Linked DNA regions of Arabidopsis thaliana. The protein of the gene in region 4 interacts with the protein of the main gene of each other region in a pairwise test. Each region holds a gene or a part of one and is shown on either strand. Other genes may lie near its edges. The genes, in order: PRE1, bZIP7, GATA19 and CIA2.

What was found.
Region 1: the proteins of CIA2 (region 4) and PRE1 interact in a two-hybrid assay, tested with the Arabidopsis thaliana proteins (one large-scale study listed by BioGRID).
Region 2: the proteins of CIA2 (region 4) and bZIP7 interact in a two-hybrid assay, tested with the Arabidopsis thaliana proteins (one large-scale study listed by BioGRID).
Region 3: the proteins of CIA2 (region 4) and GATA19 interact in a two-hybrid assay, tested with the Arabidopsis thaliana proteins (one large-scale study listed by BioGRID).

What each region holds. Positions count from the first base shown.
Region 1 is NC_003076.8:15,954,100-15,961,713, reverse strand, and holds PRE1 (basic helix-loop-helix (bHLH) DNA-binding family protein), read right to left. Parts: upstream 4,347-7,614; 5' UTR 4,026-4,346; coding exon 3,900-4,025; intron 3,564-3,899; coding exon 3,411-3,563; 3' UTR 3,155-3,410; downstream 1-3,154. UniProt on the Arabidopsis thaliana protein: Atypical and probable non DNA-binding bHLH transcription factor that integrates multiple signaling pathways to regulate cell elongation and plant development.
Region 2 is NC_003075.7:17,720,273-17,728,159, reverse strand, and holds bZIP7 (basic leucine-zipper 7), read right to left. Parts: upstream 4,522-7,887; 5' UTR 4,361-4,521; coding exon 3,443-4,360; 3' UTR 3,123-3,442; downstream 1-3,122. Other genes in the region: GRF2 (growth-regulating factor 2), read left to right, coding at 551-971, 1,064-1,276, 1,581-1,932, 2,006-2,627.
Region 3 is NC_003075.7:17,265,447-17,272,983, forward strand, and holds GATA19 (GATA transcription factor 19), read right to left. Parts: upstream 4,554-7,537; 5' UTR 4,217-4,553; coding exon 3,929-4,216; intron 3,808-3,928; coding exon 3,460-3,807; 3' UTR 3,243-3,459; downstream 1-3,242. Other genes in the region: AT4G36610 (alpha/beta-Hydrolases superfamily protein), read right to left, coding at 99-243, 334-401, 482-571, 1,178-1,828; EMB2754 (Vacuolar sorting protein 39), read right to left, coding at 6,642-6,842, 6,923-7,021, 7,113-7,537. UniProt on the Arabidopsis thaliana protein: Transcriptional regulator that specifically binds 5'-GATA-3' or 5'-GAT-3' motifs within gene promoters.
Region 4 is NC_003076.8:23,163,544-23,172,970, reverse strand, and holds CIA2 (chloroplast import apparatus 2), read right to left. Parts: upstream 5,198-9,427; 5' UTR 4,579-5,197; coding exon 3,475-4,578; coding exon of another isoform or gene 3,448-3,474; exon of another isoform or gene 2,848-3,447; coding exon 2,695-2,847; coding exon of another isoform or gene 2,677-2,694; exon of another isoform or gene 2,259-2,676; coding exon 2,208-2,258; 3' UTR 1,946-2,207; downstream 1-1,945. Other genes in the region: PSD2 (phosphatidylserine decarboxylase 2), read left to right, coding at 14-61, 177-323, 458-553, 640-714, 818-910, 997-1,083, 1,153-1,203, 1,318-1,440. UniProt on the Arabidopsis thaliana protein: Responsible for specific up-regulation of the translocon genes TOC33 and TOC75 in leaves. Involved in the general chloroplast protein import pathway regulation, including protein import and protein translation efficiencies.

The DNA.
Region 1 (7,614 bases), 7.2 Mb from region 4:
CCGTAAATGGTCAGAACACCCTCCCGCTTCAAAAACATTATAAGATTGTGGGTAGACCATCTTCCAAGCCTCATTCACCATAACTCTATCCAGTTTTTTCCAAATTGGGTCATTATCTCTCTTATTGCACCAAGTAAAAAGGGCCCGTGAGATGCCAAGTCTGAGAATGAGCAGTAGTTCACCAAAGACTGAAAATCTCGCATACCGGAGGTAACTGCTGGGTGATCTTCCATTCGAGAGTGCTCATCCATATCCAAAATTTCATTAAAATCTCCAAAAATTATCCATGGTTTATCACGAATGATCGGAGAGTCCATATGATCGGTGAGATGATTTTAATATATGAGTACTTGGAAAACTCAGCCTCGATAAGTATATATTCGGTTAGTGCCTCACAGTTTAAGTAGTTGTATTAAGAGTTATTGAAAAGAAACTAATGTGATTTTGGTTGTGACATTTTCTTAGACAAAAACCAAAGCTCTAAGCTAAACTGGGAGAAGAGGGTCCAAATAATTAATGGAATCTCTCGGGGACTTTTATATCTTCACCAAGATTCGCGGCGTCCTATTGTCCATAGAGACCTAAAACCGAGCAACGTCTTACTTGACCAAGATATGGTTCCGAAGATATCAGATTTTGGGATGAGTAAACTCTTCGACAAGCGTGCGACAGCAGCTAACACAACAAAGATCGTCGGAACTTAGTAAGCAAACAAACTATCATCGTTACATTTGAAAATAAAGCAAACACTTTACAAAACCTCACAATTGTGTTTCTTGTTGCTTGACAAAGCGGCTATATGTCTCCGGAATACGCGGAGGAAGGGATTTATTCAACAAAGTCAGATGTTTTCAGCTTCGGAGTCTTGCTTCTTGAGATTATATTTGGGGTTAAAAACAGAGACTTTTATAGATACTCGGAGAACGACGAAAGTCTTATTACATATGTAAGTGTAATAATCATCCAAAGCATTTTCGTCTTTTTTTTATATTTTTTATTGTGATTGATATAAACGCTTAAAGCTTTGTTTATGATGAATAGATATGGAGGAATTGGAAGGAAGGTAAAGGGCTCGAAATCATAGATCAAATTATCCTTGATTCATCAACATTTCAACAACACCAAGTTAAAAGATACATACAGATTGGTCTCTTGTGTGTTCAAGAATGTGCTGAGGATAGGCCCACGATGCTATCAATCTCTGTCATGTTCGCAAGCGACACAATAGAGATCGCTCCGCCTGGACCGCCTGGTTATTTAGTCCGTAAAAGTCAACTTGAGACTGGTTCCTCCTCGTCACGAAAGAAGCGAAACGAAGAATCTTGGACTGTGGCAGAAGTAACCTATTCGGCCATTGGACCTCGGTAGTCCAACGACGTGTTTCGCAAGGAACTTTATTTATGGGAGAAAGATTCTAAAAGTTGTTTCCCCGTGTAGGAAGTATCTTGGAAATTGATTAAAAAAAAAAAAACATAACAGAGTACTGTAATTTGTATTTTATATTGTTTTAGCCTGTTTTACTATAAAGAAAACATAACTTAATGACGTTTACACTAACTTAGCTAAAACCTCCATAACCAAAGCTTCACTCTCTAAGCTTCTTGAGTCTTTGGTTGAAATAATCAACAAATCTCCACCTCGACAAACGGTTACATCTAATATTCATTTACCTGCTTCTGATGTCATTACACAACTTTGTCCTTACACAATATGTCAGTAGGATTGACCAGAGAGTACCAATCTTGGTCATATCCCTTATGAAGTGTAGCTCAACTTCTATATGTTCCCGTTTCATATTTTTAGACAAACATATATAGCTCTTGGACTGTCACAGTTCACTTCATATTTTGATTGCAAAGAACCAATTATTATAGCAATCTTTTTATCCAAATTGTTTCCTTGATGCTCTCTGTAAGAGTCATATTCATATATATACTCTGCTTTTGTGGTGGATAAGGACAACGTGTTGCAAGCATCATCTCCAATTTTCAAGATACAAAAGATTGCTGTTAAAACAGAGAAATAGAAAACAGAGTGTTTGATAAGTTTGTGTGAAACTTGTGTCGCTGTGGAGTTTGGGGAGAGATCACCTTGGAAAGACTTCTCCAAGAAGAATTCATACATGATTAAAGGGAAGTAAAATGAGTTTACTTGTTAACCTTAGTTCATGTTCTTAGATACAGATGTATTTGAATTTACTGTAGAAATTCTAAGTATATCTTTTACTTCTTGAAGTGATCTAATAAACTTTTGTTGCAGCCGAGGACTAGTGGTTGGTTTGAAAGAGAACCAACCGATACCTTGTTAAATATTGTGTCGTTTCGTTATTGCTCTATTGTTTAAATCGTTTCCGCTATTTAATTATTCTATTTAGTATATCTCAAAATTTTACAATAATAATTCAAAAAGGGTACAAGACCTGAAAATTGTATCTATGTAACAAGAAAAAAAAATTAAGATCGTTTTAGGTGGAAGAGTGTAACAAAGCTAGTCTCTGAATGCTCTCCTTTTTCATGTAATTCTTCTTGTGATTATTTTTATAGCTATATGGCTTAAAATTAGGAGTCGGATTTGACCAGTCTCCTAAACCCTGAAAGGACCAAACCGGTATAGCTATATGGCTTAAAATTAGGAGTGATAGATTTGACCAGTCTCCTACGCCTTGAAAGGACCAAACTTGTCTAAATGTATGTACATGGGTGCATGTATATCAATATGCGTATACGTGTGTTTAAACTTTAAACTACATGCATGTAGAATTATGAGATATCAAATAAAACTATAACGTTGATTTTTATTTAATTTCTTTGTGTGGACGTCCTAAAAGGCAAAACTTTCCTTTAGATGTGTATAAACGTTTTTGTGACAGTTAAGATGGGGTTTCTTTTCCCCTCCAAAATGGCTAAGAGTTTATTTGATTTTGTCTTCTATTTCTATTTTTGCTTTTTATCTCTATTTTGAGGTTTAGATGATTTGTTACCTCAAAAACAATGTGCCAAATAACTTTTTTTATTCCGTATAAAATTAAATGCTCGCAACTAACAATGTCCTCTCGCAATTTTACTGTCCTTGACTGACACAATCGAGTTCAGACATCACAATCTCTGTTTTTTTTTTCTTTGTTAGGGAGAAAAAAAGAAAGATTCTTCTCCACCAAATTTCATCCCACTGGTTTATTTTAATAATGCACCTGCTAAGGCAATGCTCGTGCAGTTCTGCTACACACATATATGTCGGAGACTTTTGACTATGGAATTAACCCTATGAAATTCGTATGTCATTAAAGATCAAGCCCATCTCTTTGAATTTTACATAATAAGACGATTATGTTAAAAATATAATTATTATAGAGCGATCATTTAAGATTACATGGATAGGCTTGTCAAAAACAAACAAAAGAACAAAAAAGATTACATGAGTAGGCTTCTAATAACGGCGGCTTCAGGGCTATCTTCATCGACAGATTCGAGAAGCTGAGACAAACGCTCGCTCAGATTGTCAACTTCTCTGTTCAAATTTCGTATGTAATTGCATGTCTCTTGCAATACTTTCGAGGCTGATGCCTTCAACAACAAAAACGAAATAAAATCATAATCATTATAATATATGTTTTTTGAACCAATGCATGCGCTTTTATGCGTTTGCAGATGCATGCAAGCTGATGATTTTGATGTAATCTCTTATGTAAATATGGAAGAAAAAGGTTGTGAATATTGGTATATATGTTCCTTAATGTCCGGAGTCAAAAGTTCCGACTTCTTTTTTCTTTCTTGTTTGATTTTAGTGTCCACTCTTCTTTTTACAAAACTTTTGTTCTTTCCTTTTTTGGATAGGTTTACACGATGGATAATGTTAAATGGTCGTTATAAATGAATATATGCATATATTATGCGTGATACCTTATCAGAACGACGTCGTTGACCAATCTCCGGCAAAATTTGACGGAGCTTAGATACGAGGTCAATCATTTGATTATCGGAGATCCTTGGAGCACTTGAAGATTGCCTTGATCTTCTGTTCGACATGTTCAACAATGTGGCAAGAAAAGACCCTAACTAAGTTGTGGATTCTTCTCTCTTTCTTTACTTCTCTCACACTAGCTCAAACAAGTTCTATTGAGAAATAGAAATAGAGATATAATGAGATCGGCTATGTCTATGTGGCAAGTAGGTGTAAGCTTTTATGATTTTATAAGGTTTTTATGCTGAAAGGAAACGACCAAGAAGAAAGAAAAACTAGAGAGCAAGAAGAAAATAGAGAAGAGAATGAGAAAAGTGTTTTGGGGTTTTGAATACACTTCAAATATAAAGAAATTGAGAATGTGATAAGAGAGATTTAAATAGGCCAATGGACCACAAGAGAGAGAGAGCGACGGAGAGCAGCAATAAACCTCGACAATGATGTCACGGGAGAAGAAAGCGATAGATTGAATGCCCTTAAACCACAAAACTTCGAAATCATTTTTTATTACAGATTTCCAAGCCGTATATATACATATCATCAGTCGAGACTATTACCAATCATTATACGAAGGTAATGGCGGGATTGAATTATTTCACAACGTTTTCAATCATGGTTAGTTAGTTATTGTGTATAGTTCAAATGATACACAAGTTTCAAGATTCGTAACTTTTTAGGATTTTGTGGAAAATAAGTCTTGAAATCGTCCATTTCTACTTTCAGAAAATATAGAATAATTTTACAAAGTGAAAAATACTACGCAATATAACATTTTTTGCTATTGTCAGATTTCGTCAAGTTTTAAAAAAATTGAGAAGTATTATATCAAATCGAAGCCCTCGAGACAAAGAGTTCAACTCTTCTTTAATTTAGATTTTTTAAAATGTATGTGATCGTGAATACGTTTACAATATATGTATAAGGAATATATTGCGTATTATTTTTGTTTTTTTATGATTATTCTGCATATTTTAGAAGTAGAGGGTAAAATTACAAAAATAGATTTCTCTTAGGATTTGTTTTACCAAAACCCCAACTTTTTATGCCTCAACTATCCAAAAAAAAAGAAAATGATTATGACTAGAATGGATCACAAATATACATATGCTTAGTTATTGAAAATTTTACAGTATAATTCCTATAGAGTGGATAAATAAATGGGTACTAAATTTTTTGAATAATTGGAGGAGATTTGAATAGTTAAATGGAGGAAACGAAAAGTTCCCAAAGATGGGGTTGATGAAGGTCAAGATAAGTGTTTCATGTTCATCTAACATTGTGGCCCTTCATCTGCAATTTCACAAAAAGGCAACTACCATGTGATGACATGACTTTTCATTCAATTTTTTTTCTTCTAATATTAGAACTAGTATTATCGCCTAAATTGTCTCTCTAAATTTGTATTCCACAATATCTAGGTACAGTTTGTATATTTATCTGTAAATCTTGTATATTACCAAACTATATATTTTAAACTTGTATAAAATATATAGTTCCAAACTTGTATAAAAAAGCATAGAGAGAATTATGTAAATTCTATCTTCCATACTAACTACATTTGTTTTAGAAAGGAAGAAGCCTAATTATTGACTCCTATGGAACATTGTTTTCTAACTGCTAAGCCATAAATAGTTTCACCTCATATGTAAAATATTTCGTGTGATAACTTTTAAAAAATTATAGAATGTCAATGTAACTTAAAAATAGTAGATATAAAACAAATATTTTCTATAAAAGGATTATTGTTGATTTTGCCGTTTTCATCAAAATCTTTTGAAAAAGTCATTTTTACTAAAATTTTACGAAATTGTCATTTTAGTACTTATAAATGTACGTATTTACGATATTATTTTTACAAAAATAAGTATTTTATATTAAATGCTAAACTTAAAAAACAAAAAAAAAACTCGACTAAACCTTAATATAACGAATAAAAGCTATGCTAAATTTCATTTTTTAGACTGAAAAAGAGCAAAATCCACAAATTATTTAAAAAATGACAAAATCCATAAATATCATTCAAAAAATGGTAAATCCATAATTAATTCTTTTATAAAACGTGAAAAGGAAACCAAATGCTTAAAAGAAACGTATCTATCGGCTTTAAAACTTCGTTCAGACCATTTATTTCAAACTTCTTCGCACACTTACACTTTGCCTAAAATAATTTATTTAAAGAATTTTTTTATTTTGAAGTGAATAAAATCGCATGTCTCATATAACTTAATTTAATTGTTCGATTGGTCCATTATTGGTTGAGTATTAATTTATATAAATGTTCACAAAACATCGACTATGTCACGTGTCACCACCATGTCTCGTGTTACATGCTGCCCTCGGGTCCATAAGATCAAAATTTTAGATATCTTGTTGTCCAATAACATTATCAATAAAGATCCGACAAGTATGTAACAGTCGAATACAATTATCTGTTTGAACATATTATTATTATTATGAAAGGTTATATAAATTTCGAAATCCCTCATTATCCCTCAAAATATTTCGTTTGTGTGGTGTATTAATTTATCACAACATTCTATTTCATTAGTAATTCAATAACAGTTTAATATATTCTCACCAACAAGAAAATATAAGTGAGAATGGTTCTCTTCCGACAGGTTTGCATGACATGGATCGGATTATATTCATAGTTAACGAAATCAATGTTACGTTACGTTACTTATTAAAAGTACTTTTTGCTCAATATATACTAAATATATAAGAAAATTATTTTCTCCATCGTTGTGCTTGTTATATAGCCAAACATTTCATTACTCTAACCGATATCATCCGACATGAAATTCACACTTATAATTCAAGAGAATGACAACAGTATAGTAAGTACACCATATATATGTCAATGATCTATCCACCACAAAAATTCAACGAGAACATTAATTCATACAATTTTTTAATAAAGCACATAATTAAAGAAAACATTTATCAATTTTTCTTATATGTGTGAATACAAGAATATATATAAAAGTGTGTTGGTGTGTGTGTGTGTGTTTTATATATACAAGATTATTAAAGAAAGTGACCATTCTAATAAATTGCAAAGGGAGATTTTACATGTTAGTCCATGTGGGTTCGGGTACTAAATGTTTGGTCTCATAGGCTCCACAATGTTTTTGTGTCTACTTTTTCGCAATTAATTCACATCTTTACAAACATGTTGTAAAAAACACGAGTAATCATGTGGAAATGAAGGACTCGTTAAATAAGTAATTTATAAAAACTCACTTTGGAAAAGTTGAGCAATTTTTTTTTTTTCCAATGAATTACAAAAACACTATAGTACGATAATATGCATTAATGGCACCAATCATATCTTCGCAGTGAATAAAATAACAATTAAAAAAAAACATTGAAAAAGTCGTCAAAACGGCATCTTCGATTCTATGTTCAAAGATTTGAATTATTCAATTATATTTATAAATATTTGATCAGGTCGAAATATACAACACACATAAGATGTCCAACAATTATATTTATAACTGCGAAATGTTTCTCTGGATTTAGCATGAGTATTCGAATTACGCTGGAAATGTCGAACAAATTCCACGGATAACATGTCCCTTGATAAGAATTGTTTCGCCATCATATATTCACATAATCACATCACAAACAAAGCATCGACAGATTGTGTAGTGT
Region 2 (7,887 bases), on a different chromosome or scaffold from region 4:
GCACATATATCACAACAAAAGAAAATTACTAAAATCTAAAATAATAACCCCCATAAAGAAAAATGCCTACAAATTGGGAAATATGTACTGCAAATAATACAGAAATAGCCTACGTTTTCTTATAGAGAAACTACCACCATATTATACAACTAATTTGGGACCATAAATTTACACAACTTGAAACAAATTGGAAGCTAAGTTTGTACCTTTAAAGCAAGCAAAGAAAACTTTACAAAACAAAGAAGAAGAACTAAAAGCAAAATTAATGAAAAAGCATTGGATAAATATGTTCTAACATGTCCGAGATCCGGATTGTGTTTTTAGGTACCATTCTTGTCTCCTCCCAAAGCTTCACCACAACTATTTTCATTTTATTTTAAAAACACATAATAATATATATCTCTTTCAAGAAAATCAAAAGTAAGCCTCGTTCTTCTCCCTCTGTCTCTCTCTTCTCTCATCTTTAGCTATCTTCCTCCCATGGCAACTATCTCTCAAGTCATTATCTAACTTTTTTTCCTTCTTTTTCTTTTTATATTACTTACTTCTTATGGATATTGGTGTTCATGTTCTTGGGTCGGTTACTAGTAATGAAAATGAGTCACTTGGTCTAAAAGAGCTTATAGGAACTAAACAAGATAGATCCGGATTCATCGGTGAGGATTGCTTGCAACGAAGCTTGAAGCTAGCAAGAACGACAACTAGAGCGGAAGAAGAAGAAAACTTGTCTTCTTCTGTTGCAGCTGCTTATTGCAAAACGATGTCGTTTCACCAAGGCATTCCTCTCATGAGATCTGCTTCTCCTCTTTCCTCTGATTCTCGCCGTCAAGAACAAATGCTTAGCTTCTCAGATAAACCAGACGCTCTTGATTTCAGTAAATATGTCGGTTTGGATAATAGCAGTAATAACAAGAACTCTCTCTCGCCGTTTCTTCACCAGATTCCTCCACCTTCTTACTTTAGAAGCTCAGGTTTGATAATGTCTTCTCTTTATTGATTGGATTTTGGTGAAATGGGTTGTGTAAAATAATCAAATTTTTTACATTTTTGCTGTGGAATGCAGGAGGATATGGTTCTGGTGGAATGATGATGAACATGAGCATGCAAGGGAACTTCACAGGTGTTAAAGGACCTTTTACATTGACTCAATGGGCTGAGTTAGAGCAACAGGCGTTGATCTATAAGTACATCACAGCCAATGTCCCTGTTCCTTCTAGTTTGCTCATCTCTATCAAGAAGTCTTTTTATCCTTACGGATCTTTGCCTCCTAGTTCCTGTAAGCTCCATCTCTTTAACACAATTTCTAGTTGCACATAACTTTCCATTGAGCGATCACTTGTTTGTGAAAGTTTTGGGGTTTTGATCAACTCATTTGTGGTGTGGTTGCTTAATCCAAGAATCAGATTTTATCTAGTCTTTTATGTCATTTTGGTGCTAAATCCTTCATAACATTGCTCATAGGGTTTTCAAGATTTGTCTTGTTGGTTGAAAAGTCTTTACAACAATGGTTGCTTTTAGGATTTTTCATAGGGAATTTTGTTATAAATGGTTAATGAGTGTTTATGTTCGGTTTTGTGTAGTCGGATGGGGAACTTTCCATCTCGGTTTCGCAGGCGGTAACATGGACCCTGAGCCAGGGAGATGCCGCAGAACAGATGGGAAGAAATGGCGGTGCTCAAGAGACGCCGTTCCTGATCAGAAATACTGTGAAAGACACATCAACAGAGGCCGTCATCGTTCAAGAAAGCCTGTGGAAGTCCAATCTGGCCAAAACCAAACCGCCGCTGCTGCATCCAAAGCGGTTACTACACCACAACAGCCTGTTGTCGCTGGTAATACTAACAGAAGCAATGCCCGTGCATCAAGCAACCGCAGCCTCGCCATTGGAAGTCAATATATCAATCCTTCTACAGAATCTTTACCTAACAACAGGTGAAAACAGATTTTTAATACTCTGCATATTCATTGTTAGTTCATATCTCACTTACTGACTCTTGCAAAACAGAGGAGTTTCGATATATCCTTCCACCGTCAACTTACAACCCAAGGAATCTCCGGTTATTCATCAGAAACACAGAAACAACAACAACCCTTTTGAGTTTGGACACATATCCTCTGATTCGTTACTCAACCCGAATACCGCAAAGACCTATGGATCATCGTTCTTGGATTTCAGCAGCAACCAAGAGAAGCATTCAGGGAATCACAATCACAATTCTTGGCCTGAAGAGCTGACATCAGATTGGACACAGCTCTCAATGTCAATTCCAATAGCATCATCATCCCCTTCCTCCACACACAACAACAACAATGCTCAAGAAAAAACAACACTCTCGCCTCTCAGGCTATCCCGCGAGCTTGACCTATCGATCCAAACCGATGAAACAACAATCGAGCCTACTGTGAAAAAGGTGAATACTTGGATACCAATCTCATGGGGAAACTCCTTAGGAGGTCCTCTAGGTGAAGTACTAAACAGTACAACGAATAGTCCAACATTTGGATCTTCTCCTACAGGGGTTTTGCAAAAGTCCACATTTTGTTCACTCTCTAACAACAGCTCCGTGAGCAGCCCCATTGCAGAGAACAACAGACACAATGGCGATTACTTTCATTACACAACCTGAAAACTGAAACCAAGTCCTGCGGCAGGAAACAAAAAAAGAAAAGCTCTGTTTTTTCTCTTTCATTATGTTCTGTTTCGTCTTTCTAAAGCTTAAAGAGGAAATTAGAAAATCGTTGTTCTTCTGATTCTTTCTTCGTTTCCGATTTCTGAATCATTTGTTTGATAATCACTTCATATAATCACAATCTTTATTCTAATTGTTCAGTTACAAACTAGGGTTTATCTTTGCTCTTTCATCAAGGGAAAACTTTTAGGGTCGTAACAAAAATGGACTTGAGGACCTAAATTATTGTTGGGCTTTATGTTCCAAAACTTTATTTGGGCCGAGATAGGCATTTTAACGATTAAGATATATTATGTAGTGATATTACAGTATTTGGGATCGTGGCAACCGGTTTATTAGGCTTGGTTTAGTACTTTAAAATACAGTGTATCTTTTCAACAATTATGGGCGTTGTAGCATGATGTCAATGCGCATAAAGCCTTTCCAGTTTCCACTAAGTAATAATGTAAATCGTTGTATTAATTTAATAACTCTTTAAGTTATTTATCTCATACACGAGAGTGGGAAAAAGAAAACCAAAATAAAAATCTGTTTTGTTTTCCTTCTTCTCTAGTGTAGTGGAGTCACAACATATAGAAAACGAGAAAGTGGAAAGGAAAATTAGAAAACTATCATTTTCTCTTCCTAACCTTCATTTCATTTACATAGAGAGATAGAGAGACATAGCGAGAGTTTCTTTTTTGCTTTGCTTTTTTTTTTTGGTTATTGTTCTAAGTTTTTCGATATTTTTTCTTCTTAAATATTTTGATCTATCATTGAAGATGAGGGTGGTTTTGTTCAGTCATGATCATTCTCCGGTTATGTAGTTCCCATTGTTGCTGTTGTTGAAGTTGTCTAATGATCAGAATCCGACGCATCTCCGACAATCTTAGCCGGAGTATCTCTTGTTCTGTCACGAGCCGGTTATTGTCGGAATTCACTCGTTGAAGCTGGTGTAAAACTAACCGGAGTCGGTTCCCGAGCTCACGGTTTTCTAAATCCAACCGGTTTACTTGCTCTCGTAAGTTATCAATGTGACTTTGTTTACGCATTCTTGACCGTTTCGCTGATTCCCGGTTTGACTCCATCCTCTTCCTCTTCCGCTCGTCGGTCATCTCCGGTTGGATCATTTTTTTCCGGTTATGGTTATTCTCTCCCGAACCGAAATTTGTGATGGCTGTCAATTGTTTTGTGTCGTCCGAGTCCGGTTCATCTGCTTGAGAGCACGGTAGATCGTTTGATATGTCGGCGTCGTCACAACGAGGATTAATTTTGACGAAACCGGCACAAGATTCGTCAGAACCGGTTTTCATGTCATGAGAACCGGAATTAATTTTGACGGAACCAGTGTCGGATTCACCATAACAAGGACTAGGGATGGCCGGTTCAAGAGACATTTGGTCCACGAAAAAGAGATCAGAGCAATCCCATTCCCAAGGAGTGAACCCGGTTTGGAAACCCGAGAATTGATTAACCAAACCCGGTTCGGAGAATGAAAAGGCCGGTGCAGTGGACAACATAATTGCTAATAATTTTTCTAATAGAGAGATGAGAGAAATTAGAAGGGGAAAAGGGAAGAATTGCATTGTTGGAGCTTGATATTTATGGACAAACCAAGGGGTAATTTGGTCATATTTCCAAAATACGATGTAAGACCGTAGACTATACTGTATAAACAGCTTTTGAGTCATGTTGCACTATGGTGGGGTTAAAAACTTGAAAATTTTTATTTGGCAGAGCCAACTTTTGTAAAAGCAGGAAATATTGTGTAGGGCACCAATAGCTTGTTTTGGGTCCATATAACAAAAATAAATTAACAAATTTGAAAATTATGTAACCAGTAATAGCTTAGTGATGAAGAAAACAGTCCATATTTCACACGTTTTAAGAAATTCAAGAATGAGATATTTCTTTACACTCCTAGAAAAAGTTTAACTTTTCATATTGGAATTGAATACTTCATATAGTTTTCTCTCATTCTTGTTAGAAGATTCAACAAAAAAAACAAAAAATTATCAATTCCATATTATCTTCAATAAACTTATCATTTTAGTTAGTGATTAGATAAAACAAAAATTGTATGTGAACATATGCTGGTTAATTATGATATTTACAGTCAGAATAGAGTAATTTGTGGTTCTTTATGTTCACTGTTTAATAATCTTTCTTAAAGAGAAAGACAATCTTTTTTTAAAGAGAATGGCAATCTTTCTTTATTTTAGTTTTGTCAATTTCTTTTAACACGGGATGGACACACACTGGAGAGGGACTAGAATCATCGTTTCAATCAGAGAATCTAAGGAACATACTTTTCAATTAACTGAACCAAACTGGTGCTTTGCATGAGAGATGAGACCAATGCTTTTTGTAAAGAACCCTATAAGTTAACCTATGACCAAAAAGTTAAGTATATATACTTGCTTGCTACACGGAAACATTGAATATTTCGATTGCAAGGATACATCAAATGTAGAGTATTTTTAGATTAGTTTCTTCATTAGAAATATAATGTGAAAAATTCAATAATTTAATTGTTAAATCTTGAATCAAAATATATTGTTTCGTAAATAATGTTTAAATATACAACAGAAAATTAATGGAAATATAGAAAATAAATTAATTTTTATCTTAATGTTGAATTGTTTTCTCTTTGGTTAAAATGCTGCATCAATCATAATTGATTGTATAAATATATATACGGCATTACATAGCTTTTTCGCTTAATAATTTACCAATCTAAGGAAAGATAATTAATAAGGATGAAAAATGCGCCTAGACTTCTAAATCACACAATCCCTAGTACAAAATTCTGATTAAAATTAAATTTAGTATACTATAATTATATTAATTTTTAGATACCTTTACTTAGCTTATTTATGATGAGAAACAAAAAATGTGGAGCAACGGCCACATGCATTTCATATAGAATAAAGTGGAGAGGACAAAGACTTATATATATTACATATACACGTCGCTTTATTATAGCCAGATTCATGTTTTGGTTCGGTCTCATGTGAACTCAACTTTAAATGTCCAGAAAAAAAAGCTCACATCTTAGCTTTTTATATACATTAAAAAAGGTCGAGTGGAGGGACCTATTACTATTGTTAACCACTGAAAAAGTCGTATCGCAGATCGGTCGATGAGCCAGGAGCTAAGCTTGTGCCCGGCTGGTGAACCAGCTTTCAACATGGCTTATAGCAAGTTACAACAAGGTTCTGTTGAGATAATCATATACAGTTTGATATATTAGCAAAATATTTTATAGTTTGATCCTAATTAGTACAAAGTTCTTAAAGCTCGATCTATATACGTATACGAACATTTCATGCTAAGTGGTCTATTTTAACATTTGTATTTCGAAATTTTTTAAAGTTTGATACAATGATTTTTCCCTAGTGGAGTTACAAAAATCTTTATCTTAAAAAGTTTTCACCTCATTATTGTATTAAAGGAGTTCAATACACATGTCATGGGAAATGAAAAAAGTTTATAAGACGGAAAGCCCACATTTACTTGTAAATTGATGTCACAACTTTAGTTCGAATATTCATTGAGCCTTAACACGTAAATAACTCAATAATTTAAAGATTTAATGTTCTATAATAGTCTTTTTTTCGTTTGTACTCACACGCATATTTATCATATTGGAATCCGGACAGCGAACAGGGTAGCAACATTCGTACATACAAACCACTAAATTAAAACCCGCATCAATTTTTTAGAACATTTTAGAATTACATTAATTCTTCCTTTACATATCTGAAGACATACGTACATAGAATCTTTATATAACTCAAGTAATAGTCATGCGAATCATGTAGAAGACATTATTCTTTACCCTTATGCTAATTAACGAACTTCCCTTTGCTTGAGGAAACATATACCAATTTTGATGCGTATAGGTATATATTATGGATCTTGTACTATTGATGATTCATACATACAATTAAACTTACGGAAAATCCAATAAATTTTGATTTTATACCTATATTTATAAATTTTACTATATAAACTCTGAAAAAAACAATTTTTTTTTTTAAAAAGATTTAATTCTTTAAAAAAAGTTAACCACAAAAACTATCATTGAAATGTAACGGAATTCCAGTAGATCATATCTGAACAAATATTCTTAAAAATTTGTTAAAACTTCAAATACTTATTTGTAAGATTATAGTCAACTTGGTGTGTATGCTTTTCTTATATTTATGCTAATTACTTAGCCTATGGCTAGTTTAGCCCCGTTTAGGTCATATTAAATTTAAAAATCTTAAACTAAAGTCGAGGAGGAAACTTTAATAAAAAGTTTGAAGAAATTCTAAATATGACGCATGTAAAGTTTTTTAATCACTATAAAAAGAATACAGGCCATATAACGACAAAATTTGTAAATTGGGAAAACCCTAAATGAGTCTATTATTTTTGTCATGGAAAAACTTAAACGTGTCGTTTCTTTGGCAATGGATGTCCACATGCAACACTCTTGCTATTTGAATTTTCTTTGAAAAAGTCTGTCGTTTCTATGAAAATGAGTTGCAAATATTTGATGTTATTGAGTACTGATTTAAAAAAAAAAAACTTTACGGATACAAATACTATAGAATGTTGTTTAAGATAATTTAGTCTCCAGGTAGTCGCATACTGGAGAAATCGTTAATACTTTTCTATATATATATATATATATATATAAAACTAATTTTTTATTAGTATATTAAATAGATATAAGTCTGACGATCAATAATTGATATTATTAAGTCATTAATAAGAGTATAAGACTAAGAACAATGGCGACTAAATGCTAACATTGCTCGGGTCCTCGACCTAAACTTTCGTGTCGATTAAGTTTTGGCCGTCGGATGTACTCAACAGATCCAGAAAATTAACTCTACGCTTCTACAGTTCAACAAATTAGCGATATATTTTTCCTAAATTACTTTTATATTTTTGTCGCCTTGCATCGTTCGTGTTAACACATATTTTTGTGTGTGTGGTGTATATATATATGAGTAAATGGATGTAAAGTAAGTAAGTAACGTTAGCAATCCACTAATTATGGCTTTTTAAATGTATCTTTTTGTAATCTATATGTTTGTGGTGGAGTGTTCGTTGAGATTTATCGTGTGGCGTCATTTGGTACGTCATTAGCCATTAGGGTTCTCCTTATAGCTCCAAATATATATGTATGCATCGTATATGTACATGCATATTAGAATATGGT
Region 3 (7,537 bases), on a different chromosome or scaffold from region 4:
AAATGACAAAAAGACAAATCAAGTAAAAACAAACCCAATAATTATTCAATCTCGACACAAATGATCCATACATACAGTATATCAGGATCAAATAGAACTTAATGTAGCATTTTAATTTTATCTTCCGAGTGAATAGATGCAAGAAACTTTTTGAGACGCCTATTGTAAACACAAGGTCTTTCCAATTGTACCAAATGGCCTGCCTTCTTTATACTCTCTATTGTTGCGTTCTCACCTATTTGTCTAAAAATCATAACGGCAAAAATTAGGATAACACCAAAAAATCCTTTCAAAATGGCAGAAATTATAAAATTATAATATCTTCAAACTTACTCTTTCATGTCTCTAGCCAATTCGAGATCAAAGATTTGATCACTTTCACCCCACAAGAAATGTATTTTCTGCATACACACATGAAATGCTATTATATAGAGTCTAAATCCTACAAATCATACGGATGTGGACATATGTTCATACGTACCCGTGGGAAATGAGGGATTTGCGCTTCCTTGTTGCTGACCACAACAGCCTCTAACAGTTCAGCTCTTTCTTTTCTGTTGTTAAACATTACCTACCAAGTTCACCAGTAAAGCTTAATTTAGGACCATACGTTCACATTTATTCAACGAAAAACTCTTAGAATATAGTATAATAGAAACTCTAGTTAAATCAATCATTGGTAGACAAGTATAGTGACGAAAAAAACATATGTTACCTAGAAAATAAATACGAGATGTAGTTGAGAGTAGTTGAACAAATTAAGCTAACCTTTGACAAAATAAAATATTTTTAATAGCTAACCTACCAGAAATGTAGATTTATCTAGAATCTATTTTTCGTTACTTACTTCTATTGTATATAATTTTAATTTTTAGGCAACAAATTGGAATTTTAATTTTAAAGTTCCAATTCATTTTCAGTTGATCGAATAGAGGTAAGTATACTTCGCAAGTCCCACCTAACTCACACAATCACTCTTTCTTGGAAACGTGATCCATATGAATATGTCCTTGCGACAGTAAAATATACTAATAATGTGAATTTGTGGAAAAATAAAAAAAAAGAAAGAAAAACTAACATGCTTTCTTACTCCAAAATGTAATCATTTGCTACGGAATTGTTATTTTCACTAAAGGAAAAGAAAATAAATAAATTAACTTTGAGTAGTAATAATCACCTCGATGTAGTCTTTGAACAATCGTTTAGGGAACCACAAGGGTTTATGCACAGCAATGGTGAAGAGAGCCTTAAGTCCCGTAACAGAAGTCGGTAACAAGAGATCCGTGGAAGAACTAAACCCTAACCGGTTCAAGCTCGCCTCATTAATGGTATCGGTCATTGTGGGAATCGAACCAGACACAACGATTGCTCTAACCATGTCCGGGTAAGCTTCAGCGATCTTGAAAGCCACCATGCCCCCGTAGCTAAACCCTACGGGAACAAACTTATCCACGCCGAGGATACGAAGCCCCTTGACCAAACAGTCGGCTTGAAACGCCGGAGACCGGTCCGAGTTGTCGGTGTAGGATCCACCGAAAAAGAGGAGGTCCGGTATGTAGACCGAGTATTTCTTGGATAATGCACCGACTTGGAACTGCCACGTCACGATTCCTTCGCCAGCGAAACCATGGATTAACAAGACGACAGGCTTTTTAGGTTTATCGGGTTTCGTTGGTTTTCCGGTACCGGAATTCTTCTTTAGGGTTTCCTTAGGGACCCAAAAGTTGATCTTCGTCCCTGGTTCGATCTCTAAAGTGTAAGGAACGACGCCAGCCATTTTCATCAGACCGTACAACAATGGTTTTTGTACCTCAACAAAGTTCACCATTGTGCAAGTTTTGTTTTGTTGTTGTTGTTGAGAGATGTTTGAAGAGAAGCCCAAATGGGATGCAACATTATATAAACATTTTTTCCATTCGATCTTTTCAAATGTAACTTGGAGAATTGGCACTTGGATTTGGAATTTGTTAAAATGTTAGGTGTTGGGTTGTTAATCTATGCTTTTCTGTTTTTTTTTTAATTAGCCTCTTAACCAGTACAAGAACACAACAATTCTAGAAACTAAAAGTGTCATAGTACAGTCAAATCCCTTCAAAATTCCATTTATGATATTAAATAGACCGAAATCACTAGATTACCACCATTTGATAGTTGCTTTGGTAATTTTTTTTGTTTGTTTGTCATTATGCATGATTTTGAGAAAATGACTTAATTAGCTTTTCAATGAATGATGACAAGATAGCGTTTGTTGGATCTAATTACAGTTGGGGAGATACCCGGTGGATGACCTAAACATCCTACTTAAATCCGTATGTTACAGTTTCTTCTTGCGTAGCGGATAAGTAATGTATATTTGTATGATGTATATGTAGGTCTTGGTAAAATAGAGTTTTATAGGTATAGAATCTGGCGGTGGTCTATATTCCAATTTTTAAAAAATCGTTTCAATTTGGAATTTCATTTGACTTTGAATGGAATTTATATCGAATGGGCTTAGGCCCAAATAAAATCGCAACTTATATGCTCATTCCCGGTCAGGAGCGGTTGAAAGTGGAAAGTAGAAATTCTGAAGACATTTAATTTTATTCGTGAAAAAATAGAAAAACATTTCATTATTATTCTAATTGGAAGACAAATTTAGTAGTTTAGTGACTCTTTTTTCGTCTTGACTCTCATAAATGACTCAAAAAAAAATTGTTACTCTCGCTTTCTGTTGTTATAGAGTTTCAAAACACTTTATTATCTTGGATTGTGTTTCCGGAAACAATCAAATAAAAACTAACGTTTTTTTAATACAATAACTAAACACGTTATGAAAAAGATAAATATTCTTCACATGCAGTTGGCAGCAACAGTTTTAAGCAGAGCAGCACACGAAGACCTAATTGATGGTCAAATTTCCAAGACAATTTGGGCAAAACACGACAAACATTCAGCTTGGCCACCCTGCAGATATTTGTTGGCTTAATTTTCAAATTCGGTCCAAGTATTTGATTATTTCAATTTGGAAAAGAAACTCACAAATTAAACGTTTAAGATATAAGTATTTGTGAAGATAGTATCTGCATCCCAAAATATTCACATTCTCCGTACAAAAACCCAAAGATGCTTTAAAAAGAAATTAAAGGAATGAATATGTATTCTGTATATGTATAGTATATCACTGAATCGTGGTCAAAGTAGGACACACATCATGTAAAGGTTATAAAGTCACGAATTATTAGTTCATTACCCGAGAGAACATTTTAAAAGTCATGCAAGGAAAACACAAGTAGCATCCATCATACGAATTATAAATTTAAGAAAAACACTTACACAGAGACCAAAAAAAGACATTAAATATTTATATTTAAAGGAAAGTAAAATAAAGAATTTAACGAAGGCTAAGACTTTTCTTTTTTGTTAAAAGGTATCCAAGGCTAAGACTTATAAGGGGAATATCTATGAAATGATCACTCATCACATCGTAAAATCGTGGACAAGGCCGGTCCGGTCGGCGACGTTAAGCCTCCAAGACAAGAACGGGTCGGTTGTGACGTCATGATCAACAACTCTGACATCATCAACGTATGAGTATTCGTTATTGGCCGGCGAGTAATATGGAACTCTCTGCGTATTATGCTGATGGTGCCAAGGCGACGATGAAGCATATTGGTTATTATTGTTATAATAATAATTTGCACTTGCTTGATGATCCAAAGTTGGAACTCCAGCTGCAGTTGATCCTCCGCCGGAGGTCGAGTTTCTGGCGGTCGATGCACGTCTCTCTTCTTTCTTGAATCGGATTCCACACGCATTACACAACGACTGACCAAATTAAAAATCATATAAAGTTATTATCAATATTTGTTTTGTTGTACAGAGAGAAATATTAGTCCCACATCAAGAAATGATAAAATATTTGATGTAAAGGTTACATATTAAATACCTTGGGACCTCTTGGACCGTTTCTCCAAAGAGGAGTAGAAGTGGTGTCGCAGTTGGCGCAACGGCGAGCGAGGAGGTTATGTCCGCCGCCTCCACCGCCTTTCTTGGAACCGTTCAAGAAGTCCCAGCCTATGGTGTCGGAGGTATGAGACGAGAATCTACGTTCATCATCCTCGTTGCAGAGGCGAGTGGAGGGAGTTCCAAGTGAGAGAGTGCAGTCAACAGAAGCATATGGAGAGGAATGATGGCTGACGTCGTTTTCGGGGGAGAAGAACATTGAGAAACCCATCACTATATATGAACTTGGAAACCCTAGAAAGTTGATATTAAAATATATAGAGAGAAGGAGAAAGAGAAGTGTGTGTTGTGTGTGGTGTTTATGAGATGAATAAGTTCTCTAAGGAAACGGTGAAAGAAGAGTCAGCCAAAACAAAGAAAGAGTCCACGTTGCTGTTGTGAAATGGAGACAAGAAGTATTTATAGAGAATTTGGGAACTTGGCAAAAGAGGAAAATTTGGTCCCGGTCTTATTATGTGTGTATGATTAATCTATGCTTTATTCTTTTGTTCTTTAGATTTACATGTGAATTTGCTCCTTTAGTTTGTCTACAAAGATGTTGCAATGAATATTCTAAATATGTGTTGGTTTTTGTTCAGTTCTAAGCGATTTTTAATAACAAAACGTTTTAACCTAACAAAATTAATTAATGATACTGCTCCGAATCTAGATTATTATGCAAATTCATTGCATACCGTATAATATTCCACGACCAAGTACCAAGTGAGTAGTCTTGTTTAACAATGCTAAGCAAACTACAGTGTTTTGATATATTATTTAAATGGTAAAGTAAGAAAATAAATGATAAGTACATCTGCAGTTAAAGCAGCAGAGAGGAAGGTAGTCAAAAAAGAGGCACGTGACTGGCAATGTCACGGTCTTCCAAGGATCTGGTCTCTCTCTGATCACGATCATCTCGAAATTAAACGCTCCTTCTCTTTCCGAATCTCTTCTTCCACACGTCATCGCTCGCTTCACCAATTCGACGTGTCATACTCTCATATATGCATGAATCCATTTTATGTTCTAAATTCAAATAGTGTGCGACACTGTTAATGTTCACCGCACTACAATTTCAGTGGCTCTCTAACGACAGTCGTAATAATACAAATAAAATGTTGTATATGACGTATAATTATGTTGTTTTTAACCTTAATCAAAAAATTTGTTTTGTATGTGATTGAATATTGTTGTTACGATTGTGGTCAAGCATGAGAGATCGTAATCGCCAAGATCGGTGCTTTTAAGGAGTTAAAAGAACAAAACTAGCCAATGTTCAAGTTATAAGTGAACTAAAAAGGAATAAAGACAAAGTGAGATACTTTGCAATGATTTTAAAGCAATTACATTGTGTTCTTTCTTTAGCTTGGTGAGAGTTATTCTATGTTTCTATTGATTTAGTCAAAGAAGCAAACTCCAACCAAAATTTAAAATTTAAAAGAAAAAGGGTACAAAGAGAATGAACCCATCAAATGAGTACACTCTGTAGCTCTAAGCTCTTATTTCTTTATCCTTTATCTTCTTTCTCTTTTTATCTAATTTTGGATCAAATAACGAAGTTACGTTATCTCCAAGAACAGATCTATGTTTTTTTTGCTTTCAAAGTAAGGTTTTGTATCAAATAATTTTAAATTTGATCGGCCGACCCATTTTTGGATCAATTATCGTAATGGGGTACGTCAAAATGTGTAACGTTTTTATACTAATTTTATAAGCTCTCAACTAAAAAAAAAAATATTAAGAATAAATAAATTGTACGTTTTATGTTTATATATACTATTATTTGAGTTTCATTATCTTATTTACCAACATTCATTTCATTTTATTACAAACATGAAATATCAACTGTGTTTTCTATAAACCTCACTCGTTCAACAAAAGGAAAACAATCAAATTGATGAGTTTTAAGAATATCAATTCAATAATCTTGTTGGAGGATGTCGTGTGCCGCCAAACACGAGTGGACAAAATGCGTGAAACGGGAAAGAGTAAAAAAGATTAAAAGAACACCAAGAGACCCAGAGAGAGAGGGAACAAAGAGAATCGGATCGGTCTTGAGATTGGTTAATTTTTGGTTCAATTGAGATACGGCGACCACCGCTTTCCCAAAAGATGCCTCTCTGTCTCTTATGCTCTTTGCTTCGTAGAACACGAAACCTAACCCTAACGATTACCCCAAGACGCAAAGTGTTCGACTTCGTAATTTCACATTACATGTCATGTCTCTTCACTCACGTGACTTCTAATCTTATTATAATCTAACTGAGCTGTTGAAGCCTGATAACGCCTAATCCAGCCCACGTTTCTTGGCCCATCATATCACCTTCATTTGGTTGAATGTTGTTAGATTTCGCACTAACATTCGTTATTTTCTTCGACAAGTCCCAATTACACAAAAATGAAAAGTCTTTATATAAACTAACAGATTTTACAACAAGAGCCAAACTGGTTTTGTCAAGAGTCAAGACCATCATTTTGAACCAAACACAAAAAACCACAGAAGAAAACACCAAAAAAGTAGCTCCAAATCTCTCTCTATAAACAGACAAACAACACGAAAGGAGCTTTTTCTTTAATTGCACTTTGGGAGTTTTGTAAAAAAGAAAAGATGGTTTAGTGTCTTAAACCTCTCTTTGTTACAGTAATTGATGATTACCTCATCGTCTTCTTCCATGTGTTGTCTTAGAAACAGCTTTCATGCCTTGAGAATCTCTGAAGCATACAAAGTGAACTAACGTTTTCCCGTTGGGATAAACAGCAAATACGCTTGTCCCTATCTTCTTGTTGCACAATGAGCACATGCTTTCGCTTGTTACTTGCGCTACTCCTTTCCTATGTTTGTATAGTTCCTCTTTCACCTATTCGTTTCACATCATCAATTTCACATACGGGTTTCTTTTAATGCTAGGTGTCAATAGTTCCAGAAACACAAACATACCTGTAAGTTTTCACTCTGCCTCAAACTCTTGATGACTGAAAAGTTTCTGTGAGCTTCACTTGAATTTCTTAGAAGGGGTGCAAGAAACGGAAGCAGGTTCTGTAGGAATTGGATAATAGAATAGGTGAGCTTCAATAAAATGCTAGTAAGTAGTTATGGGATAAGTATAAGTCAGATTCAAAACATTTACATGGAGTTTAGTTTCTCTAGGCAAAAGCTTGAGGGCTTGTGCACCGTTGATCCTCTCCCACCTTTGGCTCAACAGATCAAGAACTTCAGAGATCATAACGGTGGAGTCTCCTTCTTCCAAGGGTTCTTCAGTATCAACATCGCTTCTTCCACTGTCAGTGCTGCTACTGAGACCAACTCGCATATCCTCAGCGCCTTCTATTGCAACAATTTTCTTGGATCGGCCTCCTTTAGCTTTTGAAGATAAAACAGAGTCCATCATTTTTGTGGTGTCTGAACTTTCGAATGATCCTAGAGCTACAATTCGTTTTGCAAAGTCTTTTGCGCTTTTCTTAGGATTCAGGTATATTTGCAGCACTGTGAGGTAGATATTGCTTGACGGTTTTCCAGATGGTAGATAAGTAACAGACTCATATATACGATCAC
Region 4 (9,427 bases):
TTGTCTGTTTCAGGATCAAATAAACATGGCTGAAGTCAAGTATCCTCTGCAGCATTTTAAGGTATGCATGGGATCTGTTTTATAGCGTCAACATTAAATCTAAATGTGTATAGTACTAAGTTTCACAATATGATTTATAGCATTTTCAAGAATGATGATTTTGTTTTTACTTGCAGACGTTCAATGAGTTCTTTATCCGAGAGTTGAAACCTGGTGCAAGACCAATTGCTTGCATGAACCGCAATGATGTTGCTGTATGTGCCGCTGATTGTCGATTAATGGCATTTCAGTCGGTGGAAGATAGTACCAGATTCTGGATCAAGGTAAAATGGTTTCTAGAGTAGCTTACTATATACTTAATCAATATTATTCAAGATTAGAGAATTCTCAAAACAAATGATGTAGCTGATATAATGCAACACATCCTTATTTTTTTGCATTGATTCTGCAATGATAGGGCAAAAAGTTTTCAATAAGAGGCCTCCTTGGGAAGAATGTGAATCCAAATGCCTTCCTTGATGGATCTTTGGTTATATTCAGACTAGCACCACAGGTGCGACGAGACTGGATTTCTCCTATTGAATTACACAGTTGTTGTTTGTTCTTTAGTTACTCTGACATATTTCTTGGATGTTACAGGATTATCATCGGTTTCATGTCCCTGTCTCTGGAGTCATTGAACAGTTTGTGGATGTTTCTGGAAGCTTATATACAGTATGTAGTTATGCATCTCCTCTGCATTTACTTTAGTCCAAGATTTCCTCTCATCTCCCTCATGTTTTCTCATGAGACTCACTTTTGTTTCCTTGTTGAATAGGTTAATCCAATTGCGGTCAATAGCAAGTACTGTAATGTATTCACGGAAAATAAACGAACCGTTGCAATTATATCAACAGCAGAATTTGGAAAGGTTAGATGCTGAATCCAGTTTACAAATGGATCAGAATAATAGTGTGTACTGTATAAATTCAAGGTTAGCTAATAAGTATGTAACAGGTTGCTTTTGTTGCAATCGGTGCAACAATGGTTGGTAGCATAAATTTTGTTAGAAAGGAAGGAGAGCATGTGAAGAAAGGAGATGAAGTAAGCAGTTTCAACTTTTCATAAGAAACACTTCAAGAGAATATTTCCTAACTTCAATTTATCTTGCAGCTTGGTTATTTTTCGTTTGGTGGAAGCACAGTTATATGTGTCTTTGAAAAGGTTAGTGACTTATTATATCTTAATCTTAAAATCTTAAGAACAGTTTTATGCTTTTAAAATGATATCTTCACTGTTGTTTTCTTTCAATATGAACCTTCCATTTGAATTATGCAGGACGCGATCGGGATCGATAATGATCTCTTGGTTAACAGTGGTAGGTCTTTAGAGACATTAGTGAGTGTTGGAATGCAATTAGGTGTCTCCACAAGGACATTTGCTAGGTCTACATTGATCTGAAAATCTTTGCCACTGAACTGATTACCAGAGACCAATTTGGTTTGATTTGATTTTCCTCTTGTTTCGTGCATAATAACTCTGTATATAAACCAAACGATATCTCTTGTATCATGTATACAAGTAATGAGCTCAACACATTCCTTGTGCAGAGAGTTCTGTTTTTGCCATTCCGTCAAGCCTTGTAAAATAACACTCGATTCTTGGTCAAAGATAAAATGGTATCTAGAAGAAGCTACCATTCAAAAATCATATAACACGTCCTAGAAGCTATTTTTGCCCTTAATTCAATATGCTTTTTCTCTATAATGTTTTTATTGGGAAAGGAAATTTGGCTCGGCAAAAACAGATATTGAGAGGTATCAATGATTTGTCACCGGTTTTGATGACTCAAAGAAGCAATGGGCAACGAAACAACAGGTGTACAAGGCTGCAACATAGTTTGAGCCATTGGGATTGGTGAATAATCCATGTCTTGTTTTTTGCTACTGTTGTTGTTGAGCCAAGTCTCTGACTTGCTTCTTGAGTCATTAAAATCTCAAGAGCTCTGTTTCTTCTATTAATAACAAAAACTTTTATTAGTTTTGATCCCTCACTTTCTCAATCAAATCTCCCCCTCATCAAAAAATCTAAATTATAAACCAAAAGGGACCATAACTTAAAAGAAACAAAAAAGGAGGGTGCCAAAATTTTAGAAACAAAAATAAAACAAGGAATAAACAAAAGATAAAAAAAAAAAGATAAGATAAATCTAGGCTCTTTTATCCTTGTTATCTTTGTCCACTTGGAGTGCTCTCATTGGGCCTTCTCACGAATCGTCCCTGTTCCCACATCCCATCACCAACCACAAAAAGAAAAGAAAACATTAATATTAGGTTCTTGTCTTAATCAAATCTAATGTATATATCCCTAGCCCTTGACCTCAATCTAACGTTATTAGTTAGTTTTGTTTCCTTTAGATGACAATTCTTAATATATTTAACCTTTGGTTTGGTTTTAAATCTTTTTGTTTGGCTTGTGGTACGTAGTTTCCTTTACTTGTTCGGTTTGGTTCATTTGGAATAAAGATACCCAAAAGAAAGCTTATTTCATCTTCTTGAAGAAAAAAAACGAATAGAAAAACTCAACAAGAGTTTTCTCATCTACTTTAAATCTGAAAACTAAAGCTAGTCTTATTATGCTGATTCAAAACAAATTTTGAAGGATGGTAAAAAAAACCTACATGTTTTTAACCACTGACTAAGATGGGTTAGATACCTTCATTCGAGGACGTTGATCAGCATTGAGTTTGCGAACTTGGTATCGAATTTTCTTCGAAAAAAGACGAGTTCGACGTTTCTCTTTGTACCTCAAAACACTTGCTTCTCGCATTCCACTGTCTCCGAACAAATCAATCTGAGCTAATCTAGCCTGCCCCAAAACACACACGCCACATTAGTTCATGTTCAACATTATTAATAACACAAAATACTAATCAATTGACAAAAATGAATTTCTAGTTAACTTATTTTGTAGACTACTAGACTTTATGCTAAAAGGAGTATTCGACGAAACGGATATCTACAAAATAAATTTTGAACCTCCTCATTTATCCTATACGTGAAAATTCACGTGCACAGTCTATAAAGTTTTCATTGGACAAATAAAAAGCAGCTTTTTTTTTTCTTAATTGATTGAAAGTCATCACAGAAAAAAATGTTATTTATAATAAAAAGAAGACTATGTACCAAAGTCAAAGGGTTAATAATTATTCTTCAAAATACGTTACAGGAAAAATTATTAATAAGAACTTTCCACAAAATTTAATAAATTCTTGTCAGATACTTCAAACTATATCATAGCTAATAAATTACTAATTCAGCATTAATGAGAACACACTCCTCAACAGCCACGTGGCAGAATACTAATGGCCAAAACAGAATCCCGAATAATTAATTATTTCAAACTAACCATTAACTAAAGAAAAATAAACATAGAAAATATCGAATTTTAACGGCGAGGGATTTGAGATTAAGAAGAGATTAGTGTTAAACATACATTGACATCGACAGCTTCCGATCCCTGAATCTCGTCGGGAAACGGCGACGTTTTATCAGACCAAGCTTCCAAAACGCCGTCGTAATCAAGCTTCAACAACGGACCTGTTCTCTTCAAACTCGTCTCCTCCGTATCTTCCAAGCTTTTCGATTCCGTAATCAATGTCGTCGTCACCGTCATTTTCTTCTTCTTCTTCTTCTTATTACTCTTCTCTCCAGAGATTACCACCTTCTTACCGTCGGATTTCTCCTCATCAACGGTGGAGATTGCAGTTTCGGTTTTGACAGTTTGAATTCGCGGCGAGATCTGTTCGAAATCAACGGTATGAATCTTCCACAATTTTGTGTCGTCGTTTTCTCTGAGAGCACTTCGTAATCCAAGCCCTAACGGGAAATTGAATCCGTTAGAGCTTCGATTCCATGAATTGATCATCATCATCTGTTCTAGTTTACCAATCCGATTAGAAGAACTTCTTCCACCGCGATTGATCATTCCCGGAACCCTAGATTCATAAATCCCCGAATTTGAATTCGATTCCACCACAGTCCCCATTATACTATCGATTCCTTCTTCAATATCCTCATCGAGAATCGATTCAGCATCGAATTCGTCGGAGAAATCAAACTTTTCGATTTCACCACCGTAGCAATCTCCACCGGAGTTAACTTCCTTCTGGTCTGAGAAAAACTCTGTTTTCGTTTGAATCGTTGGATGAAACAGAAAATCAGGTTCTTCGATTGATTCATAAGGAAGAAGCAAATCAGAAGCGTCGTCGTTGTCACTAAGCAATGGCCCGTAGAAGTGAGAGTTTGATGAAGAGTGAGTTTTTTGCTTAGAGGACAAGTTTGAGGAGAAGATGTTGGGATAAGCAGTAGAGAGAAGAGTAGCTGCTTCGTTGTAAGTCTGGTTTGGTCTTTTGCGTTGTGTTCTTGGCTTTCTCGTTGAGATTGCGAGTGGTGAATTTGATGATTCGGAGATTGTTGATGATGGTGAAGTAGCTCTTGTTGTTGTTGTTGAGGATGATGGTGGTGGTGATTTCACTTTTTCTAACTCGAAACTATATGCTGCTGCTCCTCCTCCTCCGCTGCTTAAACACGCCGACATTTTTTTTGTCCGGTGAAATCGGAAAAGAAACAAGACCAAAACTTTGAAGATTGTAAGAACTTTTGTGAGTGAGAAGAGAGTGATGAAATTAAGATTTTTGCCTTTTGATTAAAGAATTGTGTTTAATTTTAAGATAATAATAAACCCTTAAAACCCACTGAAGAAACCTTTTTTTATTTGGTGAGAAAATACAAAATTGAAGGGGGAAAAAAAGATCAAAACTTTAGGGAAAGAGGAAGATTCTGCTAACAAATGTTCATCATTTGAAAGAAAGAGCTAAGAAAACCCATTTGGAATCTGAGATTTATGTGTATGAAAACCAAAAGAATTGGCCAACGAGTGAGGTTTTACAGAAAGAAGCTAATTGGTTTGTGAAGAGGGAGAGAGAGATTGGAGGAGAAAGAAGAGTCACGAGATATATAAGAGGAGAAAGATTAGGGTTTTAGTGAGAGCTTAGTAACAAACAAAGGAGAGTTTAGTAAATAAATAGTGAAGAGCGTTTTTTTTTTTTTTGGTTTAGGGGTAATTTTAACTTTGAGAAGAGAAGTTGTGGAGAAACAGAGAGAGTGGTGGGAAGAAGAAGACGAGAGAGAGAGAGAGAGAGTGAGCGAATGGTGAAGAAGGGACAAGATAGCTCGTAATCGGCAATTCTGGAATGAATGGGGTCCACCAGTGGATTTTTTCACTTTTTGTATTGATTTAAAATTACTTTGTAAAACGAGTTTTCTTATGGATAGAGATACTTCCACGACTAAAGATTTCTATTCCATTTCAGAAATAGCCATTCAAAAGGTTTATAAGGTAAATTTTGTTACTGAAAACTCTTGGCTAATCTACAATGACTGGTGTTTGAATCAAAGTAAATTTCTCTATTTATTTTTTTGTTATAATGTTAATTAAGAAAAAAAGCTTTAAACAATGTTTGAGAGTTATTGAGAAATGATTTGGAGATTGAAAACAAAATAATGAAAAATCAATTGTTAAACCTATAATAAAGCGATATGATTGTGGCAACGATCGGTCATAATACGATTGAATTAAATTTGTTATGTGTTGATTTAACAAATTTATTTGTTCATTAACATTTACTCAAAATATAAAATATTAATTTTGTGACGATTTGGTAATAATGTAATGTAGCGACGATCGTTCATTCTTAAAGTTAAATTTTTATGTATTACATTAATATAACGACAGTAAGTCATTAATTCAAATTGAGTAAATCTTTTATGTATTGATTTATTGATATTATCCACTTGTTACACAATAATTTTTACCCAAAAATTTAAGATATTATTTTGCATATCGATCTTGTGGTGAGTAAGTAATATAACAGCGATCAGTCATTAATTTGAAAGGGGGATAAATATTTTGAGTGTGATTTATCGAAATTACTCATGATTGAAAAATATTAATCACATCATCGATTAAGTGGTAAGTAATGATGTAGCGCCGATCAATTGTCTAATCCAGCCTGTGGCAGTATTATATTAGTTGAGGTTGAGGATTTTTCTTCTTAGTTGATACCAAAAATCGAGTTCTACCATTCACAATATTTAATTTCAGCTCTTTAAACTAGTATAGAGTTAAACAAATTTATCCACTATTAGTTTTAGTTTCAATTTAGAGTCACCATATATTAGTTTAATTTTTGTTTCTATTAATTGCAGGTCCGGCTCTACACATGTGCCGGAGGAGCGAGGCACAGAGTCAACCCAAAATTTCTCTTTTTTTTGAAGTAAATCTAATACAATTACGATCCAAAAAAAAGATTTACATAACAAAACATAGGAAATGAGAACTAATTTTTTTTTCAGCTCTGGGTCCTTTATTATTTTGAGCCGACCCTGATTAATTGTAGCTAGAAGTGAAGCCATATATTGGTTTATATTTTAGTTTATGATATCTAGATTTTAAATAGAATTCGAAGTTATATTTTTTTACAGGTTTTGTAGAAGATTTTATTTAAAATTTGATATATATTTTTGATAATAGTAATAGTTTTAATAAGATTTCTCAGTTTTAATTTATTGATTTGGTTGTGATATCCGATTTCTGTTCTTCTTGAATAAAGTTTAACCAAGAAAAGATGCTCAAGAGTTTAATCCAGGTTGTTTAGTGAGTAATAGTCATTAATGATCCTTTTTGACTGGAGGGAAATGTGATTCTGTTTTTGGATTATTTTCTAAAAAGATGTAAAAACCACATCATCATCATCCAAATCTGCAAAATCTTTTTGGGATCTTAAAGAGAAAACGAGGAAAGGTCACCTTATCCATTGACGTGGCACATACCCATTGGCTCTACTAGATTTCTTTGATGACGTGGTGCTTTCTCAATTAACTGATTATGGTCGCCTGGTCGGAGACGTTTTCACGTGTTCTTAAAAAACCGACTTTATTATTTTACTAATTTCCCTTTATTAGTAAGATTTTTTTTTTTTTTCAAATTTACTAATTTAGCATATTTGGGAAAAAAATATTAGCATAAATTGATACTTTCTTATCTATATTTTAGATAATTTTTTGGATATATATATAGACATGATAATTGAAAATTTATTTCTTTCATTGACTTACTTTTTCAAGGTTAGTTTTATGTTAAACTTTCAAACGTTTCTGCAAAAGAAACATTAGAAAAGTAACGGCCGTAATATAATATCTATAGCTAATTGGCTATATTAGTAGAAGCAAGCTTACAAAATTGTCGTATTTACAATATAGTTATTAAATAATAATTAATTTAGTTTAAAAACAAAAGTGTGGAAAGAGAAAAGTGGTGGGCTAGTGGATTTGTGTATGTGAGAGAGAAAAAATGATTGGAACCTTTTTGGGATCATTTGAAGTAATTTGTGGCGAAAGCTAAACCTACGTTTACCTCATTAGGTTCAATGACTCCTGGTTAGATATCTGATTTTCTATTTAGATATGTTTGTTTATTTTATGTTAGATATTCCATTATATGAGATATGATACCCACGAGTCATCCGTCTATATCAAAATTGAAATTGTATTAAAACATTGTGATTACATATACTTAAAACGAAATAAACCCAAATAAATTAAATTAAAAAGGAACTTGCAAGAAAAGTCGGTAGACAAAAAAAAATCTTCGTAGAACTTTGAAATGTAGAGAATTTTTCTTATCTAAAGAAGTTGTGCTGGAGGGAATTTGAACCTCAAGAAAAAACAGGATAAACCTTGTTATGGCACTGCTCCAAAGTAAGTTTTGTTCTTATGTTATTCTTATGTCAACATGTGACCTCTCTTCCATTTCTTTACTAATTCTTTACCATTTTCCCGTAAAAGTTTTGTTGGATAAAAGTACATTAATAATTTCAATCGTTGCAGCATGTGTGATTGATGTACTTTATACCCGGATACTGCTACGTCAAGGACATTAAGGAGAGATAAAACTAAATAGATAAAACTCTGTGACTAAAGAGATAAAAATATGTGACTACAGAGATAAAACTATGTGGCTCCCCTGTTGTGAGTCGTATTTTGAGTATTTATTTATGTGGATTTTAAAAGGATTATGGATTAGATAACATGACTAACACGAAGAATGAAAAAAGTGACATTTATTTGTTTATATATAGTAGAAGAAGAAATTGTTGAAATAAAAGAAAAAATGATTTTGAAGAATATCTCAGCTGTCGTTTTCAGTGTTTATAATTCACAGCTTGATGACCTTTATACGTAATTAGAAAGAATGCGGCTATGTTAAAACTTAAAACCCTCGAATACCATAATTCTGACTGTCCTATAAAATTCAAAAATATTTCATTTGTACAATCAGACATTGTAGACAACTTGTTTACAATTATCTTACCATGTAGTTATTTCGGCCACATCTAATGGGTCTTACCATTTTTTGTTCTTATACTATAAGTTAACATAAACCACACGAGAATATATATCATAGATGATACACAAAAATGAAATACATGTTGTAGGCAGCAAAAAGAAAAACAACTCTACAGAAAACATATCTCATCTTATAAAACCCTATTTAACCATTCATTTGGATATTGAAAAACCAAGTAAAATGAAAACACTTATAGCTAAGAAAAAAATCTACATGAGACTAGGCAGATCTGAAAATGTGAACTTATAGATTTTTATCAAATGGGTCATGGCTCAAGAGTAAGTAACCCAAATAGTTACAAACAACAAGTGAACTATTTCTTCTCTTACAGATTGGAGGGGACCATTAAAACTATCTATGTCTTGCTCTATATTTCAAATTCTAATTTTTTTTTTATTATCAGCATGGGTAATAATGCAATAGCACAACTCTTTCATAGATTGCCTTCCATGCTTATGATAAACTGTTGATATCCAAAGAAGGAAAACAAACAAATAAGACAAGTAACTAACTAGATAAATATAGACAATTCAAAAGATAAATGTTAGATTGATAGATTGAGAGTAAGAAAAAAAAAAAAACATACTTCGAGTATGTACGGACAAATCTATAATACACTTTATTGTGACTTAATGTCTTATGTTTCAATAAATGAAATATGAAATAAAGATACTATGATACAAATCATTATATACACATACAATTTTGAGGTCAGGAGTCAGGATTCATAAATAACAAAAAAATAAAAAAAATGAAAAACACAGTTTTAGTAATATTGGTAGTATTTAGAAAATGGGATTTAGCTAGTGTGGGCTTACATATTGTGATTGCTTATACAACAATTGTCTTTAAGCCGATTTTGATTGTTCGAGTATAAGTGATGCTAATACTAATTCAAGCCAATTGTCATTAGAAAGAAATCATAAATTCTTTTCTTATGGTTATCTAGATAGTCACTTATTCTCTCGTTCCTTACTCA